Arabidopsis thaliana: one gene and its partners. The protein of the gene in region 4 interacts with the protein of the main gene of each other region in a pairwise test. Each region holds a gene or a part of one and is shown on either strand. Other genes may lie near its edges. The genes, in order: ALMT1, DER1, UMAMIT41 and NPSN13.

Region 1 (4,939 bases), on a different chromosome or scaffold from region 4:
TCACACTCAGCCTTGCCAATACCAAGTTGGCATCAACGTACGGAATCCATTAGCCATTACCCCAATCGTACAAGGCAACTTTATTATACTATAATCTAACCTAGCTAAATTCACACAATTTCCAGCTTTTGTTTCTTATATATATCCTTAATGTATTGAACGTACTGTATGTTTGTTACTTCATCGGCAAGTATGAAAGTTTGACTTTAGTGAGAAAATTTGTCACCTGAAACATTCTATTAGTTGTGCATATTACCGTATTGGTTTTGAGAATTGAAAGCGATTACAATGACGCTTTGGCACTGGCCAAGACCACTTTTGTTAACCGACTCCTCCTCTCACTGCGCCTGATCACCGCCTCCTCCAATGATAAATGATTTTTTTTTTCATACGATATATGTTTGGAATAAAATTAATTATATTCATAGAAAATAACAATCTAGAGTTTTTGCCGGACTTGTCTTTATCTGGCGCCGGTCTATGTTCTTTTATTTACTGAGGTTAGCTCTCTAAAACACCATAATCCAAAAATAAAACCATGCTATTTTTAAATTTTTTGATCAGTTGGATATAAAAATCTTTAAAAGAGTAACGCAAAGGAAAACGAAGACCAAGACTTTATTAAATGTGTGACCAATAGTTCAAAAATGATCAAAGGCGACAATAGTATTTGTAACAAACTTCAAATCTGAATGAAATACCCGAATATGTTATATACCGATGGTCTCGTCTCTATAATCTTGCGGGTACAAAAGACTGCTCCTCAAATAATGAGTTGAATTACTTACTGAAGATGCCCATTACTTAATGTATGTACATGTATTTCACCATCTTCATGTTTTTCATGGTTTGAGTTATCATCAACAATCTTTATGGCAACATGATGACATGAGTCCTGTGAACTCCCTCCACGTGAATCATCAACATTGTTTGATCTATCATTATCAACGTCATGTAAAACTGTGACAACATGATGATCTTCATGAGAATCTATTGGCATGGCACGACCAATGCTTCCGGAATCCGACTTCTCGTATAGCACGGTCGGCCTCATCTTGTTCTTAAATCTTGCAGCGGATGCAAGCTCGTGTACAGATTCCGAGATCTTTTCGGTTAAGTTAACAATATCTATGAGCATGGAGACAGTCGTCATCAATGAGATCATTTGAAGAGGCTCAACATCGTTCAAGATGCCTGATTTAAGTAAAGTAGAAAGAGATTTGCATGCAGCTTGTGAGTTTGAGACATGGATATCAGAAGAAGATGATTTTATCATTTGTTTTAGTGAAATGGACATTTCTTTCATTGAGTTTCCCGATTCCGAGCTCATTCTTCTTAATGGTGTTTCTAATTTCTTTTTTATGTCCACTGGGATCTAATAGAAAAAATAAGAAATAAACAAAGGGTTAGAAACACGTTAACCAGAAACATATACTACTATACATGTTTACACTAAAAAAAAAAACTATATAAACAAATTAACAGACTAAGAATTTCAACCTGATGTTATTTTTGTGTTTGCATTTGCGACATGTAAATATATATATATATATATATATAGATATATATATTGTATTAGATCAAAAATAGTTATAGCATAATAGCATATTAGTTTTTCTTCTTTTATGTATTTTCAAATTTTGTTTTAATTAAATATGCAAACACCTAACAAAAAGTTAGCGATTACCTGAAAATCTGAGTTGATGTATGAATTCAAGGCATCAATCCTGTAGGCACACTGCCGGAGTAATGCACCAACGGCAACATATTGTTTCCATGGATGCCTAAACCTAAATTGTCCATGAGGCGGTTCCCATTCTGCGTAATTAGCCTAAACGCAAAATATCAAAACAAAATCAATCCAAATGATTTCATAATTGTGAAGCAAGTAGGGAAAGAAAGAGAGAGAGTAGCCCACCAAAGCTTCTTCATCGCTTTTGGAGTCAAGAACACTTTTATATCTCTCAAGATTCTTTTTCCTCTTCTCCACTACTTTGTAGTCCCCCTTCTCTCTCGCTTCAAAATATTCGTCCCCAAAATCTGCCAATTTCACATTCACTATCTCGTATATGTATATATTTATGTTCTTGTAGAGACATAATGAGGAAAAGAAAAAGAGAAAGAAATAAAAAACCTTGAAGGAAGTGGGAGAGAGTGTCAAAGTTAGAGGCAAGGAGAGAATGTAGATCTTGTCCAGCCCAAACAGGACAGACAAAGATAGAGATAAGGATGCAACTGACTCCTCCAATCACCACTGTCGATAGTCTGCTTTCTGCCAAATCCATTATCTCTTCGTCTCTAAACCCCGACAACGATATCAGCGCGAACGTCAATATGAATATCAATATCCCATAATCGAACTTTGTCTTTACCCATGGGAAAAACCTTACGAACGTCGACAACGCAGCTGCACATATATCACAATACTAATTACTCATTGCCCAATCTTCTTTGATCTAGTCTTTAGCCAAACAATGATTGACCAAACGCTTGGAAACGCATGGTAATCTGAAAATGTAAAGAGTGTTATAAGGGTTTACCTTGCACAAAGACCAACATGACCAAAAGAATAGGTTCCACTGTTGCACCCGACAATCTTGCTAGTTGATGAGCTCCAATTCCTAGTCCTCCTGCTACTAATGTTGCCACTCCTCTATTTAGTCCTTTCCCAAGTGTAGCCCCTAAGTACACATCAAACCAAAGTTATTTAATATTATGGCCAAAAGTTTACAACAAAAATTCTTGCATTCTCCCTAGATATATCTACTAGACATATTCAAATGATAGAAACTAGATGACGAACCTACGGAGAATTCAAAGACAACAACGACGGTCATGACAGCCCACATTGCATTGATACCGAAGTAATCGGTGAAAGGACCGAAAGGTTGGTAATAATAGAAGGAAGAGACCAAAACAAGAGCAAGTCCCACTTTGAAAGCATGAATAATTCTTCTCGGGTCTTCATTCCCTACTCTAATCCCTTCTCTCACTATCTCTCTCACTTTCTCCATAACACCTTTTGATGGTCACTCAGCTCTCTCAAGTGTTTTCTGATTCTCTGATTACTTTCAGATAGAAAGAAAAGATGACTTGTTGTTTTTATGTACATGGATCGATGTATTTATAAAGACCAAGAGAGACTCTTGTTTAGGACTCATGAAATGTTATGTTAATATTTATAAAAAATTAGTGGTGCGTTGCACTTCGAGATTTCAGGGTTAAAGTCTTAAAGAAATGGAAAAGGAAAATGTAATAAAAAAACGGAGTCGAACCTAGCCCAGTAAGTTGGGCACTAGTTAAGCCCTCCCCTTAATTGGAGCGACGCGTGAGGGTTTTTATGCTGAGCTGGATTAGTTAGATGAACCGGTAGGAGTTGATCATGATATTAATTAGGTATTTAACTATCATACTTTAGTGAATTGTATATAGTGTATGCATGATACATTTTGATTAAGGAATATAAAAGATTTAACTAAACTTTTTCTTGCAGCTTCCCCAAATAATTTCGTTTCTGTAATCGACAAGATTAGTGCCCTCAACACTTGGGCTCCAATGTTCGAATGATCTTTGCCATCTACTTGTTTGTTCCCAACCAAGTGCATACACACCTCAACAAAATTTTGTTGTTCAAAGAAAACTTGGACTCTTTTACTGAGTCCAAAAAAAGGACTCTTACTGAGTTGCTTAGTCATTATTGTTTCAATCTAGTCTGCCACACACCAAAAACATAAAAAATGTCAACAAGTTGGTACGGACCCCAATACCCCGATCGTACAAGGCTTTTATTCTTTGGATATTTTATATGTATAACAACAGTTGGAAAAAATGACCTCAAACTCAGATGCGATGATTACAAGTTTGACCAATACATCATCAGGTTCAAAACTAATTGTTGATTCTCTAATCAAACAATTAATTTGTACTAAGGGATTTAGACAAATTCACTTCTCTCTTAGCTCACGAATAATCAAAGGAGAAGAACAAAGTTGCTTGAATAAAAAGCTAGAGTTTGCTCTGTAATAGTAGTCTCTTGTCTTAGGTTGGTCATGATCCTCTTAGAGGGCTTGACCCCCCCCCCCTATTTATACAATGGGTCCAACATACCAAAATATGATAAACTTCTAATTATCTTAGGTCTAAATCTTCATTACTTCTATTCTTCATGAGATCCTCTTCTCTTAAATGGAAGTTTTCCCTTTACACGACCTGAGAAGCCGCCTATGGCGATCTTGACTGTCGACCTAAATCTTCTGGCGAGCTCATGACTTAGGCCCATTAACAGACTAGCCGGGATACCCCGGTTCAATCGAATTCTCGATTTTATTCACGTTATTCCTTGGTTTAAATTGGTATTATCGGAGATGCTAATTCCTGCACCAACACTAATCAAAACTTTTTTTTTTTAATCACCATCCTATATCCAAAACAATATTAAAATTTAACCATCTAATACCCTCGAGTTTTAACTTCAACCATCTGATCCTCCAAAAATTTTGTTTTTTTTGTTCTCACCGCTAAAACATGATTTTTTGGAGCCAATGACAGCATCGATGCCAAATCACATCATATCGACATCACCAGTGTTTCATTTGAAGGCCACAAAGCACATGTATAAATTTATGAATCTCAAGCAAATCGAGTGACTGAGTCCATCACCCGAGGATCCATGAACCAACTCAAAGTCGCTTTCAAGGGCATAAGTTCTTTCTTTTCTCTTCTTTTTTGGTCTAGCTTAGACAACCAAAAGGAGCCAGGAAAATTTTTCGTATCATATAATCAACACAAATGTTACAAAGTATGAACTGACAATAAAATTAAAATACACAAAAGCCCCCCCCCCCCACGACATCAGACCATCCTCCACCTAATCAACCATTACCATTCTAAGAATTCATACCCACTCGCCAAAAAACTATACCACAAACGAAAACAACGG
Region 2 (4,981 bases), on a different chromosome or scaffold from region 4:
ACATTTATCAGTTGTGAGTTTAGCTAAATATGTGGGTGGTTTTAAATTTGTGAGTATTAAATTTGTCATTTCTATCACAAAACAATGGGAGAAAAAAACGAAAAACTAGTTTCCCGACATTAAACATGCGAATTACTGAAACATGGATAGGTCCACCATTTTTGCCATTTGACAAGCTCGGTCTCTTGTTTTCCTTGTTCATAAATGATTTTAGTTTGTTTGCTTTTTTAAACGCATCTTTCTATCACTTTTTTCTTTTGGTTGCAAATATGTCGTTTTCTCTCCTCCCTCCTTTTCCGGGATTTAACTTATCACAATGTAATGAAATTTGCATGTTCCTCTCTCGCCATTGGCAAGTTCCATTGCGATGTCTCTATCGATAGGTCAAACAATCCAAAAGAACCAAAACCTTTTTTCTTTTCTTTTCCACTCACATTTAATCTAGGGACCCTTTAATCTTATTCATTTTCTCAACGATAATGTAAAAAAGTATAGTTAGTAAACTGTTAACTGTGTAGATTATACATGTTTTTTAATCAATCATATAATTAGAAGGGGTATTTAGCCGTCCAAAAGCTGTTTTCGCGTGACTATGCATGAAACCCACTTACGTAGCCTCCAACGTAACGACCAATAAAAAGCTCTAACTTAGGAACATTACAACGAACTAATATTTAATAAGTTATATAAGGTCATGAAATGAAATCTTATAACGTATCTAACAACTCACATGATCTATACCATGTCACATTTTTTATCAAACATATGTTAACCACCTAAGCACTAACACTACTCTTTGATCAAACTTATATTTCGCATATACTCCAAAAGAAACCAAGTGGCATATTGGCATATCTCGTAATGTGGTGCCAAAAATGCTTATCAACTTAATTATAGTTCAGATATTGTCTCCGTATCGTATCTTAATATTTGTATTCAACAATAGGTATTATGTTGTATTAGCTAGGTGTGATTTGTAACGAGAAGAGATATCTCGTTCTATTGTGAGGTAAAAATAAAATAAAGCAGTACAAGAACATAACGGTATAAACGGTTTTTACTGTTAAAAAACTTGTAATTGTTTATGTACCAACCCTATTGATTGTGTTTAAGAAATTATTTTTAAATCTTGAGATTCTTATTCAAATATAAACATTGAAGATCGATATTGCTCAATATCACAATAATCTTTCTAAGTTATGAAAAGAACGTCTACTACTATTTGTTTAAAACTACATAGGACAACATCAAATCAGTTTTGAAATTCATTGTAAAATTCTTTTAATACTAAAATTGTTTACAGTTAATGAGAAATTACAATATTATTTTTAGCAGATTATAATTAGAAAATACATTATTATTATTGATCAATTTACCTTGCAGTTCCACGCAAAACCAACAAAATAACAAATAACAAAGCATTGTGTGGAATGACGTAAGGATGAGTCAGCAGACAAGGAGTGAGATCGAATCGGGTCAAGATTATCTGGTTGGGACCCGTCACATGCACATGGACCCTCTCCCGTACCTAATCCAGGTTAAATAATCTTGATTTTCTGTTTAATTACCTTAAAAACACATTATTATTGAAACTAATAATAAATCTCGGATCTTTGGTTCCGACCATACTTGCGAAAGATCATTGCTTTAATGCTAATGTTTCTCTAATTTTGATATTCCTTGAGATTAGATTCCCTTTGCATTGTCTTTTCTTGTTAATTTGTTAGGGTTCATATTCTTACATTATTTTTTTTGGCAAAGAAAAAAACATTTATAAACATATCTAATTCGAGCCTGATCTATTAATGGGTCAAATAAAAGCCTCTTTGGCCCAATTCAATAAACTGGCCAACTGGGGATCATCATAGAGACAGACTACTAGAGAGTAGAGACGCATCAGAAAGAAGAGAAATTGATCCCACAAGTTTAAACACGATTACAAATTAAAACGTGCCACGTATTCAAGACGGTGAATTAACACGACGTGGCAAGGTATGATTGGATAACTTACGCAGCTGCCTAACAAAAACAAGTGATTTGAGTTTTCAGATGATTAGAAGGAAAAAAAATTCTGGAACTTTCGAGCTTCTGTTTTGCGGTGCTCTCAAAGCTTATATCGGATCTCGAATCTTGAATCGGACTCAGAACCTCGGATCTTCGAAAATCGACGAACATGTCTTCTCCTGGCGAGTGAGTTCCGTTCCCCTCTATTGAAACTTTGCTTCGATTCGATTTTGATCGAGAGATTCTTAGCTTGGTCTTCGTACCCAGGATTTTGAGTCCTTAGGTTAATAATTTTCATGATTCGTTTAGCTTGTATAGGGGTTTTTGAAGCATTCAACTGTTGATTCTTCTCAATTCGAGCGTAATTTTGCAACACCAAGCGAGTTCTGTGAACTTGAGCTAACGCTATTTTTAGTATATAGTTATCAATTTGCATTGTCATCATTTGATATTTTGGTGATTTGAGATGTAAAGAAACATCTTTTATGCCATGGAAGTTAGTACAAGTCAACTGGTAGTTAGTTCTTGAAATATGGAATCTCATAGTGTCTTGAAGCAAAACTGTTCTCGTTTGCTGTATCATAGTTACAAGGCTACTTTGATTCTCCTAGCTACGATAGTCTAAAATATCTCTGCGTAGGCTTGTCTCTTGTGGTAAAGTTTTATGCTTTAGCTGATCTTGATGACATTTCCTGATTAGAAATTTATAGATGGATGGAATATGTATGATTTTGATTGTTTATCTGTCAAATTGTTTCTTAGATCGCTTGTTATTGATTGCAGATTCTATAACTCACTTCCACCTATAACCAAGGCTTATGGTACGTTGTGCTTTTTCACTACAGTAGCCACGCAGCTTGGCTTAGTTGCTCCCGTTCACATTGCTTTAATTCCTGAACTTGTACTTAAGCAGTTCCAGGTATATGATTTATTCTTTTTTATGATTTTCCTTTCTTTCTCACAAATCTCTGTCATCCTAAGTTCCTAATTCATTCTGCAATTTTTGATCTATTTGGTGTTTGTAGATCTGGAGGCTGATAACAAACTTGTTTTTCCTCGGTGGTTTCTCTATCAATTTTGGAATACGTCTTTTGATGATGTGAGCATACTATTTTCACATATATAGATGAACAAAGCTAATTTCGATTTTTATTATCTTAACATACTCTTTTAAATGATTGTGCAGAGCAAGATATGGAGTTCAACTCGAGAAAGGGCCATTTGAAAGGCGGACAGCAGACTTTTTGTGGATGATGATCTTTGGATCCTTCACTCTATTGGTATGTAAAGCCTCCCCTGTATTCTATTCTTACTGATCATTGTTATTGGTTCTTTGAGAACCCCAGTACTAGTATGTGGTATGCCACAAAGTAGATAATCGCTGGTACATAATATCCCAAAGCTGAGAAGATCAGAAGCTCTCAAAGAATTGAATCAGGGTTGCATTTTATTAAAGCGAGACAAAATTTTGGAAGGTATTCATACTAGTAAATCCGTGTGTTAAAACAGTTACCTTGTTCAAATTTCAGGTATTATCAGTCATACCATTTTTCTGGACACCGTTTCTTGGTGTTTCACTTGTGTTCATGCTTCTTTATCTCTGGAGCCGAGAATTTCCAAATGCCAACATCAGCCTATACGGTCTTGTCACTCTTAAGGTATTGAAAGTGTTTCTTTTGTAATCAAATCCACTCCTTGGTATATATAATGTTAATGGTGAAAGTTGGAATTACTCCACAGGCTTTCTACCTCCCATGGGCAATGCTAGCACTTGATGTTATCTTCGGTTCTCCGATCATGCCAGATCTTCTTGGCATCATAGCTGGACATCTATACTACTTCCTAACAGTCCTTCATCCTCTTGCTACCGGAAAAAACTACCTGAAAACCCCAAAATGGGTGTATCCTTTATTCAAATTCTCGATTATTTCCAGATGATTGTTTCTCTCGCTTCTCAGTTTTTGTTTTGCTGTTGTACCTTGACATTCTCAACAGTAATAAAATCGTAGCAAGATGGCGAATTGGAGCTCCAGTTGCAAGTGTTCGACAAGCAGGTGGTGTAGGAGCAGCAGGACCCGGAGCTGGAGGAGGAGTAGGAGGAGGAGGAGCTTATTCAAGCGCTCGTGCCCCACCCGAGAGTTCAAACACAGCATTCAGAGGTCGATCATATCGTCTCACCGACTGAAATAGAAATCTTCTCGAGTTTCTTTGTTTTCATCATATCAAATCTTTTTCAAACAATGCCACTAACTAATCCCAGGTAGCTTTGTGTTTTCGAACAGTACAGTTTTTGAATATATGACTCTGTAGGAAGAATCTTTGAGGTTTTAATACAATGTTCTTTTCAAAATGTGGTTCATGTTTCTATGTTTTTGTTTTTGTCTAGCAATCATCTCCTTACTAAATTGAATTCGATAAACTATAGCCACTATGAATATAATCAAATGAAATTTGTGACATAAGAATTTGGACGTAACGAGTTTGAATATCTATCTAGATAAGTTATTAAATTCGTGACCAAAGAGTTTGGTCGTAACAAGTTTGAATTTTTTAGGACATAATATTATTATTGGCTAACAAGATTACGACTAACGAGTAAATAATCATTCCTTCGGTCCTTCCTCTAAAATGCCGTTGGTGATCGTTTATAAATAGGGGAAATAGGAAAAGGGAAGAAAGTAGACGTGGCAAATAGCGAAACAATGATTGAGCTATAACAAAGGCGAAACTTGAGCGGCACTAATTGAAAATCACTCCTTGTTTTTTTGAAGAAAAAGTAAGATGTAGGGCTGAGAATTCGTCTATGTGATCCAACGGTTTTAAAATGATCCTTGTTCCTTCCTCTCCTATTTATCTGAAGGACGAAGTCCCCACGCTGCACATAACCGGGGCACTTAACGTATAGATCATAAACAAAGAAGAAGAAAAAAAATAAGAAAAGAAGAAGAAGATGTCGTGGCAAACTTACGTTGATGAG
Region 3 (5,100 bases), 4.5 Mb from region 4:
CACAAGTGCACCCACAATGCAAACTATTGTTCCAACTACTTTGGCTACACTCTGTCAGAATCTCCACCGCCACCATTGCCGTCATGATCCCGCCGTCTCTTTGACAGAATCTCCCAGCCATTTTTTTTGTTTTGTTTTTGATTGTCTGAATCTGAAACTCTGGTTTGACGGTTTGACCAATTTAGGAGCTTTAGAATCTCAACTTCAACTTACTTTTGCATCCCACCGCAGTAAAAGTAAAAACCACTTTCAACAATTATTATTACACTATTACTATATAGTTAAAAAAAAAAAATGTCTAACCATTAGTTAATTAGTAACTTAATTATAGTTATGAGGACAAAGATTTTTAGGATAATTTTTGAGATTTTTAGGTTAAATATCTTTTCTTGATGAGCAATTAATTTTCCAGTTCATAGTAAGTCTTAAATCCAGGACATATCGTCACCACTATCAAGGACTATAAAACAAATGAAAATTGGTCGCCAAAACCTGTAGTTATCAGTTATCACTAAAAGATGTTCTTAAATCTTAAGTGAAGAATTAGTCTTATTCTTAAGGATATTGGAATCATTCTAGTGTAAATCATGTGAAAGACTAAGAAAAAAAGGATATAAAAAGGACTTGTTAGATTGTGATTAGAAAACACTTGGATCCTAAAATTAAAGATCACATTTGTCTCATCAAATAAATTACAAAGACAATTCACATATGAATTTTTTCACACATATATATATAGCGTGATCTTCACTAGTTGATGATACTCATACATGTTCATCGTTCTTGTAACTTTCCAAGAGAGGAGCCTTCTGTGAACCCGATGGAGAATCAAGGTCAGCTTCATTGGCCTCCTCGTGGTTAGCCTTGTTATCATCTTCGACCAAGGCCACTTCCTTGGCTTTTCCCCACATTACCGTGTAAAACCCGATTGTTATTACCGTTGCCCCGATCAAGCTGGGATCATCATTCAAGCAAAGAAAGGAAACCAAAAGAGTTAAAGTGAGCTGAGAATTAGAGAATGACTAGTTAATATTTTCCACAGTTTTTTGAGGTATGGTTCTAACATAACCGCAAGTCCCAAACTAATCTTGGACTCACCCGTTACTATTTAAATAAAAGTGTGAGTTGTTTTTGTACCTGCCGATGTAGAGAGAATCTCGCAGGAAGATAACTCCCATTGCAACAGCAATTGCAATAGACAATGGCTTGAACATTGCAACAAATAAAGGCCCCTTGATCCGCAATGCCCACGTGTGGATAGTATTGTTTATGCAAGATCCAAACAATCCCTAAACATAGAAATAGAATCAACCAAAATAAAACCATTTTGCTTGTCAAAAAACTAATCACACTCATAATCTCTAGGGAAAAACACATGAGTGTAATTATATTCTCACCGAGCAAACGATCGACACTAAAGCTATATTCGGTTTTATCTTCCATGCACCCAAGTCATTCCCTTCAGTGAACAATGTGACTAGCGCGGTCCAAAAGCTAACGCCTATGCTATAAAAGCAAACAACGGTAAACTCGGCCGGATACTCTCTCATGATTTGAGTCTACAAAAAATATTGAGAACATATGATTCTATCAGAAAACCAAAAAACTCACATAGTGACATATATGTTATATATGCATATAGAGTTCAGACCTGAACAATGTACCACAATGGAACACAGAAATACTCGACCGCAAGGAAACCCGCACCAAGTATCCAATTAGGGTTAGTCGATTGCGATCGCAAAGAAACAGACGGTGGCGATTTAGCAATCACAACAGGACCATTATAAAGAGTCACTATAAATGCACCTCCAATAGAAACAACGGTTCCTAACATTTTAGCCACACTACTTGTTCTCTTAAAAGACACACTCTCCATCCTACAACATTACACCAAACGTTTTCAAATCATAACCTCATGGGCTAAACAATAAGGCCCATATACAGTTAATGGACGGAGGGTAATTTTGTAAATTGATAATGTAAAAGGAATATGTCAAATAGGATATAGAAATGTTGTTGTCAAACCTGAAAACGACTGCAAGCAAGAAGGTGAAAGCAGGAGTGAGGTTGCTGATTGCAGAAGCAAGTGTTGGAGAACTATAATTTATCCCTGTGTATCCCATTATGTTTGAACAGCATCTATATACATTATCAACACACATTTTTATTAATCAAATAATTATAACCAAAACAAAATAATATATTCCACTTTTTACTAAGAATAAATCATGAACAGCATCTATATACATTGTCAACACACACTTTTATTAATCAAAAATTTTATAACCAAAACCAAATAATATATTCCATTTTTTTACTAAGATTAAATCATATAAATAAACCCCCAAAAATTGAATTTATTTTTGTTTATAATAATAATAATGTTTTTAGATTTTTGCAGTAAAGTTGCAGCTTTTGGAACCAACTTTAAGCCAAATGTCTCTTTCTATACTTTTTATTCTCTAAATTTTGGTAAACAAAAACTGAGAATTTCAGTAACACTCATGCAAAAAATTTGATCTAATCAGGTAATTAAAGATCAAATTAACCTATTTCAGCAACACTCAGGTATTGCTTGAAATTAAAGAAAAATTTCAAGAACTGAGAATTTTTTATTTGGTAGAAAATTTCAAGAGATGAGACTTTTACCCAATAATCCCTAAGAGCACGATTTTGTAGAGAATAGAGAAATTCATCGGTGGAAGAGTTCTTGATCTGTGAAATTAAACAAGAACCGATTAGCCAATTTTCAAGATTAGATGAAAAATTTAGTATCGAGATCGAATCAAGAAGAGAGAGAGACCTGAAAGAGCAAAACAGAGAAGGAAGAAGAAGCAGAGCAGCGAGACCATAAGAGTAAACGATGAAGACATGAAAGCTCATGCCTTTCAAAGTTGCTGCTTTAAACAGAGTGTTTAAACCAACGTTTGCACATTCCATTATTACCAAAGCCGTTACCGGCAAAACTTCTCTCTGAAAGTATTTCCGCGCCATCTTCTTCTCTTTCTCTTTACTCTGTTTCTCTCTTTGATTTGTAGATTTTTTTTACATGAATTTTAAGATGAGAGAAACAGAGTTGTGTTTTGTTTTTGTTTTTTTTGATGGGGAAAGAGAGAAGAAAAGATGGTGAGTGGGTGAAAGTTAGATTTTCAGGAAATGTTATTGTGTAGTACACACACTTGAGAGATATATGAAGCAGACAAAAAAGGCCGTGTAACATGCTGACATGTTTATATGAAGTTTAAGAGAAAAATTGTGGAATGAAATTCAATTTTGGATCAGCTTATGTGAGTTTCAGGTTATGATTTAAGGGAGTATTTTGAATAGTAGAATATTTGAAACAAAGTATGCTTGAGAAGTTGAGATTCTTTTTACATTGGTTTTCATTAATAATTTAATAGATTTAGTTAATTTACAGATTTAAATTTTGATTTGTAGCAACGGATTTAAATTGACCATTTACCACTACTAATTTCATCATTATTTTTGGAACTTCGTTTTTTTTGGAGAAAAAGTCGAAAAAAATCTCAGTCTCTTTTTTATCTAGACGTTGAATACTCAATTATTTTTGGTTGGAAAAAATACACATAATAATTAAAATGTGCGTTTATTATCCAAAAAAAATTGCTGTTATTTTCATACTCATGATTTCAGTAAAAACAAATATCCACTTTTACCCTTACAATTAAAGCGATTTCAAAAAAAAAAAACCAATTTTACCTTTAATTTTTAACTTTTAGTTTTAAATGATGTGGCAATCATTTTCAATTTTTTGAATAGAAACTAACTTTTATCTTTATTTTGTTTTAAAATCAATTTTCTATAAGCACTAGCTAAAGAAATTATGTAACATGTTTTACTATTCAAATTGTTTATCACAAATAACAAATAATATTCAACAGCTTTTTTATATAAAAAATGATTTATCTTTTACTGTCCTCTCATATCGACTCATACACTAAAGAAAACCACTAAACCATATATATATAACTTTAGTAAAAGCTTTTTTTTCAAGTGTTAAAACCATTTTTTTTAGCACCATAGATAACTTCTGTAAACAAATTAGGTATACAACTTAGGATGAGACTCCAGCTTCTTGGAGTTGTGGAGGAAATCACGCAAATTTCCGAGTTTGGCATTTTGGAATCGGTGTTTCTTCTTTTGTTTTCGCTCTATACATATGTTTTCCTCCTTTGTTGTTTTGTCATTGTCTGTTCTTTCTGTAGATTTTCGTTATTTTTCCGGTTCTTATATCCTTTTTAACTTATGTCGAAACTTCGAAAATGGTATAAATACTTGGGGAATTGGCAAATATAACCAACAAAAATACTTTAATTGGTAAACTAACACTTCAAACAATAGAAAAAAATATTATGTATAATATATATAATATTGACAATACTATCATGTGTTTGTACATCACGCTCTCCTTCTTCTTTCTTTTTCAAAAGACATCCTATTGAATAAATCTTCTTCTCTTTTATGAAGTGTGCTCCTTTCATCTCTCTCTCCCTTTTCTTACTGTGTTTGTACATCTCGCTCTCCTTCTTCTTTCTTCTTCAAAAGACATCCTTGTGAATAAATCTTCTTCTCTTTTATGAAGTGTGCTCCTTTCATCTATCTCGCCCTTTTCTTACGAATCTTTACATACATCACCATCAACTAAACAAAAGTCAAAATTATATATGGATCAATCTTAAATGTCGATAGGATCACTCAAATCTGATTTACTCTATTTTATAACAACACCATTAGCGCAATAATACTCTGACTATATTTATTCTTCGTCAGCCAGAGAATACTAGAAAAATCCGGTGAAATCCTTTCGCCAATTATGTCAAATTAATCTTCACTTTCCCATCAAAGTTCATATGAGAATTTTAATTTGTAAATCCATGGAAAATAAAATTGAGAATTATGAACAACAAATTGACGATCATGTTATGGATTTCTTAGATCTAGAAGCGATAAAGGGTTTACGATGTTGGAAATTCTAAAGGGAAATAGCCAATAAATCGATTTTGATTTTGGAAGATTTTTGAGAGATACTATTCTATTTTGTGAATATACTATTTACGTATACATTGTACTATATAC
Region 4 (5,217 bases):
AAAAAAATCTTTGAAACCAAACAAAGAAGTTGCAGCACCATCTAGACCCGTGTCCTCGTGTGTCAGGTGAAAAATTCCAAATTTGTTATGAGATAGAATAGCGGAGATTATTACCAATGATTAGCTGGAAAACTAAAAAGTCTCAAATTCGTTTGTAGTGAATTGACGTTAAATTTATATATTTGTGGTCTTAATTTTTTCCATCATCAGCCGACCCTGGATTCAATTATGTTCCGGCTTCTGAGCAGCATCTCTTATATTTGAACTCGATTGATTGGTACAAAATATTAATGTCTTCAAGGTAAATTCTGATTGGAAGAGTAGTAATTGATTCTCCAGTAATAGAAAGGTGAAACAAAACGAATTAAAGGAGAATACAGTCAGTAGTTTCATAAATACTTAACGTCAGAAATGTAGTAGTACTCTTCATCACGTTCTTCGTATTAGCAAGTTACAGAAAGTGATAACCATTTGGACTCTTCTAATGAAATTCCAGCTGTGTCATGAAACTTTCTACAGTAGGACGAAGAAAGGAATCTAATGAAAACGTGAGAGAGTATAACATTGGTCTGAATTTTATACAAAAGAAGTGATAAGTTGCTACAAAAAAGAAGAAGGAAAAAGAAATAGAGACAAAAGCTGAAAATATACACACCCTCCAATCAAACCCAGATTCAAACGAATGGGTTAAAACAAGTAAAAGAACATGAAGATAAACATCCCCAAGCCTCGTCAACTATCAAAGCACACAATGCCAACAAGCACAAACCCTCTCTCTAACATCCATGAAATGGATTGTTAACAAATTAGAAGGAAATATCGAACCTCAAGATGCAATTTCCTCATTCCTCGTGAATAAATATACAAATAGAGATTTATATTCTCACATGTAGTCTTGATTCCTCAAGTACAATAGCTTCCTCGATTGCGCTGGAGGAGCTAATCCTGGGATGTCCCTAATGTCTTTGTTATTCGGATTCACGATCTGAAGAATTAATACAAAAACCAGAGTTACAACTTGCTAATGAGCAATCACAACTTTCAACAGAGAGAGAAAAGACAGTACCTTCACTATGATTATGGCTACTACACCGCATACAATGAGAAACAGGAACCCCATTATGCATTTATCGGTAGCCACCTGAAATAAGTAGACATAAGCATTCAGGTTTTGAGGTCAAGCCAAAAAGGATAAATCTACATATGTCCATATGAGGTTACACACCTGTCTCCCTATCTCTTTCACCAGCTGGGAGGCCTTCTTGATTGAGAATTGAATAGTGTCCAAGTGGTTAACTACGCGTCCCATTTGATCCGTCTGCAAAATTTTCAGGTTGTTTAAGACTCTACTCATAAGATTAATATGGAAGTAAAGGAGAATAATTTGCATTACCTGTCCCTTTAAATTAGCTGCAGTTTGAGTTCCAACTTCGAGTGTTTGTTCTACAACCTGAAAGGAACAAGAATGTTACCATAGATATATTCATATAGTAACAAAGGCTAAGGGGAACATAATTCCTTCTGTAACTTACCTGTTTTGAGCGCTCAATGGCCTGATCAGTCTCATCCATTCTTTTCATTCCAGCATCAACAAGCTCCTGGTTTGACATAGCTATACATAATAAAATGACAAAAGCCTTCATCAGTTTTTACATTCCCAATATAATATACTTCGCGCCTAATCAAATTATCAGAATCATTCATTTCTATTATCTAGGCCACCGATAACATTTCTAGTGCCATATTACCATCTGCCAGAAATTTACTGACAGACATCACAAATTATGCCAGACGAATAACCAGAGAGCATTAGTTACCAATCCAACATATTCAAGTACATATAGCATTAAAAAGTCTAAACTTCAAGCATGTCAATCTCTAATTGTTCTAAGCAAACTCATATTTTGGTGGCAACTGAAGACAAGAATGCATAAGGACTCACATGAAGCCACTTGAACATTTTCCTCAGCTGTAGGTTCGCCACTAACTCCAGCTCCCATATCAAAAAGCTCAACTTTCTTGTTGCCAAGGGTACTCATATACCTGAGATTCAAGACCAATTTCACATGTATGAACACATAAAAGTCAAATGAAATCCTATATAGATATTCTGAACGGATCGATATGAAATCAAAACCCTAAAAGAACAGGTTGAGATTCAAATAATCAGCTTTCTTAAAGAGGAATGATAGAAATACTAACGTTTTTCTTAGAGCAACGTAAGAATTGAGCTCCTTGATCTGTAACATTATACAAAAGAAAAAGTTAAACACAGATGTTAAAAAGTTCATACAAACAAAATGTTAGCAGATACAAAGTACAGAGGGGAGTGATAGATACACAATGACACTCAATATCCACCTTAATATATCCATTCGGTTATAAACACACCTAAAGATTGACCAAACTGAATACGACTGATGCTGTATAATGGAACTTTACGAAGGTGCCAAGTAAGAGTTAATATTCACATATTTACTTCAGATACATATGACATTGTAGTATAATCAAAGAAAGGCCTCAATGAATTTAATAAACAAAGGATAAAAACTCACCATAGATTGTTTCTCATCGTTCAATTGCTTATTTACTTCAGGAGAATTTCTAGCTTCCTCATCCTTGAGTTCACGGTCGAACTCTTTGACCAATCTGACATGAAGTACACATTAGACAAGCAAATACAGATTATTGAATCATGGATTTGTCACATCAATACTCTTTCCTTCTCAATTCTCATTATACGGCATCGTATCCAGCTCAAAGAAAAAGAAGTACGCATAACAGTGATCAAAGAGCACATTCTACTAAAGGCAATTAGCAAACAATGTTGTAACGCCGAGAACATAATGGTAAAGCATAGCAATTATGAAATAAGTATACCTTTTACACTCTCTCATCTTGTCAGTAAGTTCTTCAAGTTGTTTGCTTTGTCTAGTTGAATCCTTAATCTTATCCAACCTCTGGAAACCATTCCTGCAAAACAGATAATGGTGAATCATTAAAAGAACAATCTTTTGAGTGATGACTAAATCTAATTCTTATCATCAGCATTAAGCAAAACACGCATAAATCCTATTGAGCACACATAATCAAAAAATTCCAAAACCCTAAAATATATATCACAGTGTTTCGTAACCACGACAGAGATAGTTAGAAAATTGAACAAGAGGATAACATGTAAAACATACGCGAGGGCTCGGAAATGGTCACGGATTTCGCCATGGATCTGCTCCAATTGAGGGCTCATGGGGAGATTAGAAGCCATGTCGCCGGAGACAATTCAGAATCCGACGAAAATTTACCCAAAAACTACGTCACTGCATCTAAAATTTCCCTCCAATTTAAATTAAAACCCTAATTAGACAAAAACTGAAGTTAAAATCTCCAAAAAGAGAAAACACAAAGGAGAATGAATGAAAGACGAAACAAAGGACGACAAAGAACGGGAAAAGGGAAAGAGAGCTGTCAGGTGTGTGTTGTTTTTTTCTTTTTTATTCAAACATATATATTTTTTAAAAACAAAATTGATTAATAAATAAATTAAAAAGACAGATATTCGGTAGTTAAAAAAATGACAGCGAGGCGCCAACTTTTTGGTCCCATCCATATCCGTTGTTAGATAAATTATTTCACTTTCACTAATTTCACCTAATAATACTTTGATTATATTCTTCTAGCCAACAAAATTTTCATATTTTTCGAATATTTTAAGGATACAATGCTAGAATTCAAAATACAGTGTTACTTCGTTAGAATTGTAGCACTAACTAATCATCGTCACTAAGATCATCATCGTAAGGATCAAGGTTGTCTTCACCTTCACCGTCAACGTTACCAGATTCCATGTAAAACTTCTCCTCCTCTTCCTCATCGTCTTCATGGTCTTCCTTCTCTGCTCTGTCTTCCCCGTGCAAAGCCTCCTCCTTCACCAATAAACTACATTTATTAGCCTTTTATAAAATCACTGGAATGGCGTTTAGCGTTTCTCACTTTAAGTAAGTTAAGTACCTCCTCCTTCTCGGATGTTACGAGCCAGTCAGGGAGCAACCGATCCAGCAAAGCGTGGTTAAGAGTTGGTGGTGGTTCATCCTCATAATGTAGCCGTTGCTTCAGCTGTTTTTCTCTGAGCCGTAAGTTGTAATGAACGTATGTTAGATCTTTCGTTGATTTTTTCCCAAATTGGCTCTGGCATTGACTGTTAACTTGGTCGTACACGCTCCACTTAGGCTCACACCCAACAGACGAGCAAGTGTGGCTCAGTATCCGAACCGCCACTCGCTGGAGTTCCAAACAGCTTATCCCATGCTGTTGCCACCACGCCGATGGATCAAGCTCTGTTCTTGTGCCAATGGCTATATCCGTTCCAAAATCAGCTTTCGCACAAGTATAATCCGGAATCTGAAAACATTTCAACAAAAAGTTGGTTTAACCTCAGGTTCTGAGAACAATGTGTGTGACTTGGTGATTTGTTTTTTGTCTCACCTGCATCAATGCTGTGATTCTACGCGTGTTATCAGGCTCAAGCCTAACAATGCATTCGTTAACTCCACGCACAACCTCAGACTGCTGCAGATTCATTCACATTTACAGCAAATGTAAGGAAAATGGCAGAAAGCTTTTAGTCATTGATTCAAATGAATGATAATCATACCTACCGCCATAAAATCAGGACGATATTTGTATGCCGGGTTGAAGAAATATGCAGCCACATAGAGAGGATGATGAAACAATGGGTTCCAACGGTATTCTATCACCCGCCAAAACGGTCCGTATTTCCTTGCATCATCGCTATGAATAGACTTGATCGCCATTTTCGCACAGCACATGTAACCGTAAGCATATGGCATAGATAGTCTATCGCCACCATCATTGATCATGTGAATCACCTGCATCACCGGATCAACCGATTTCAAAACATACTGAACCTTCTTCCAAAACACAGCACTCAACACCATCTTCTCCACTTCTCTTCCCTCTTCAGACTTGGCGGCGGTCTGTGACAAAATCCAGCCGTCAGATTGAAACAGACCTCTGAGACTGGCCTTGTGGTCCATAAGACTTTGAAGAGTGGTGAACCCGGAAGCGTGGCGCATGACTGCTGGTCTAAGAAGATCTAGTCCCTGTGTGAATTCGTTCTTCATAAGATTAAGCAGCCATGTTTGATTGTAAATGAATCTTGTGATTCTTTGGGCTTTCTCTAAGCACTCGGAGACAAAT

The links.
Region 1: the proteins of NPSN13 (region 4) and ALMT1 interact in a protein complementation assay, tested with the Arabidopsis thaliana proteins (one large-scale study listed by BioGRID).
Region 2: the proteins of NPSN13 (region 4) and DER1 interact in a protein complementation assay, tested with the Arabidopsis thaliana proteins (one large-scale study listed by BioGRID).
Region 3: the proteins of NPSN13 (region 4) and UMAMIT41 interact in a protein complementation assay, tested with the Arabidopsis thaliana proteins (one large-scale study listed by BioGRID).

Annotation. Positions count from the first base shown.
Region 1 is NC_003070.9:2,656,875-2,661,813, reverse strand, and holds ALMT1 (aluminum-activated malate transporter 1), read right to left. Parts: upstream 3,213-4,939; 5' UTR 3,015-3,212; coding exon 2,804-3,014; intron 2,682-2,803; coding exon 2,541-2,681; intron 2,408-2,540; coding exon 2,135-2,407; intron 2,041-2,134; coding exon 1,919-2,040; intron 1,832-1,918; coding exon 1,688-1,831; intron 1,376-1,687; coding exon 785-1,375; 3' UTR 504-784; downstream 1-503. UniProt on the Arabidopsis thaliana protein: Malate transporter critical for aluminum tolerance. The STOP1 transcription factor is required for ALMT1 expression.
Region 2 is NC_003075.7:14,442,764-14,447,744, forward strand, and holds DER1 (DERLIN-1), read left to right. Parts: upstream 1-1,789; 5' UTR 1,790-2,173; coding exon 2,174-2,190; intron 2,191-2,787; coding exon 2,788-2,923; intron 2,924-3,029; coding exon 3,030-3,103; intron 3,104-3,190; coding exon 3,191-3,284; intron 3,285-3,533; coding exon 3,534-3,662; intron 3,663-3,744; coding exon 3,745-3,905; coding exon of another isoform or gene 3,906-3,942; exon of another isoform or gene 3,943-3,999; coding exon 4,000-4,189; 3' UTR 4,190-4,474; downstream 4,475-4,981. Other genes in the region: PRF4 (profilin 4), read left to right, coding at 4,955-4,981. UniProt on the Arabidopsis thaliana protein: May be involved in the degradation process of specific misfolded endoplasmic reticulum (ER) luminal proteins.
Region 3 is NC_003074.8:10,440,881-10,445,980, reverse strand, and holds UMAMIT41 (nodulin MtN21 /EamA-like transporter family protein), read right to left. Parts: upstream 3,374-5,100; 5' UTR 2,998-3,373; coding exon 2,807-2,997; intron 2,719-2,806; coding exon 2,653-2,718; intron 2,143-2,652; coding exon 2,029-2,142; intron 1,881-2,028; coding exon 1,652-1,880; intron 1,560-1,651; coding exon 1,398-1,559; intron 1,290-1,397; coding exon 1,138-1,289; intron 955-1,137; coding exon 765-954; 3' UTR 550-764; downstream 1-549.
Region 4 is NC_003074.8:5,969,026-5,974,242, forward strand, and holds NPSN13 (Putative plant snare 13), read right to left. Parts: upstream 3,548-5,217; 5' UTR 3,266-3,547; coding exon 3,189-3,265; intron 2,974-3,188; coding exon 2,881-2,973; intron 2,650-2,880; coding exon 2,556-2,649; intron 2,241-2,555; coding exon 2,203-2,240; intron 2,044-2,202; coding exon 1,943-2,043; intron 1,613-1,942; coding exon 1,533-1,612; intron 1,451-1,532; coding exon 1,394-1,450; intron 1,319-1,393; coding exon 1,226-1,318; coding exon of another isoform or gene 1,222-1,225; intron 1,142-1,221; coding exon 1,067-1,141; intron 986-1,066; coding exon 884-985; 3' UTR 540-883; downstream 1-539. Other genes in the region: AT3G17450 (hAT dimerization domain-containing protein), read right to left, coding at 3,768-3,923, 4,009-4,398, 4,483-4,566, 4,656-5,217. UniProt on the Arabidopsis thaliana protein: Vesicle trafficking protein that functions in the secretory pathway.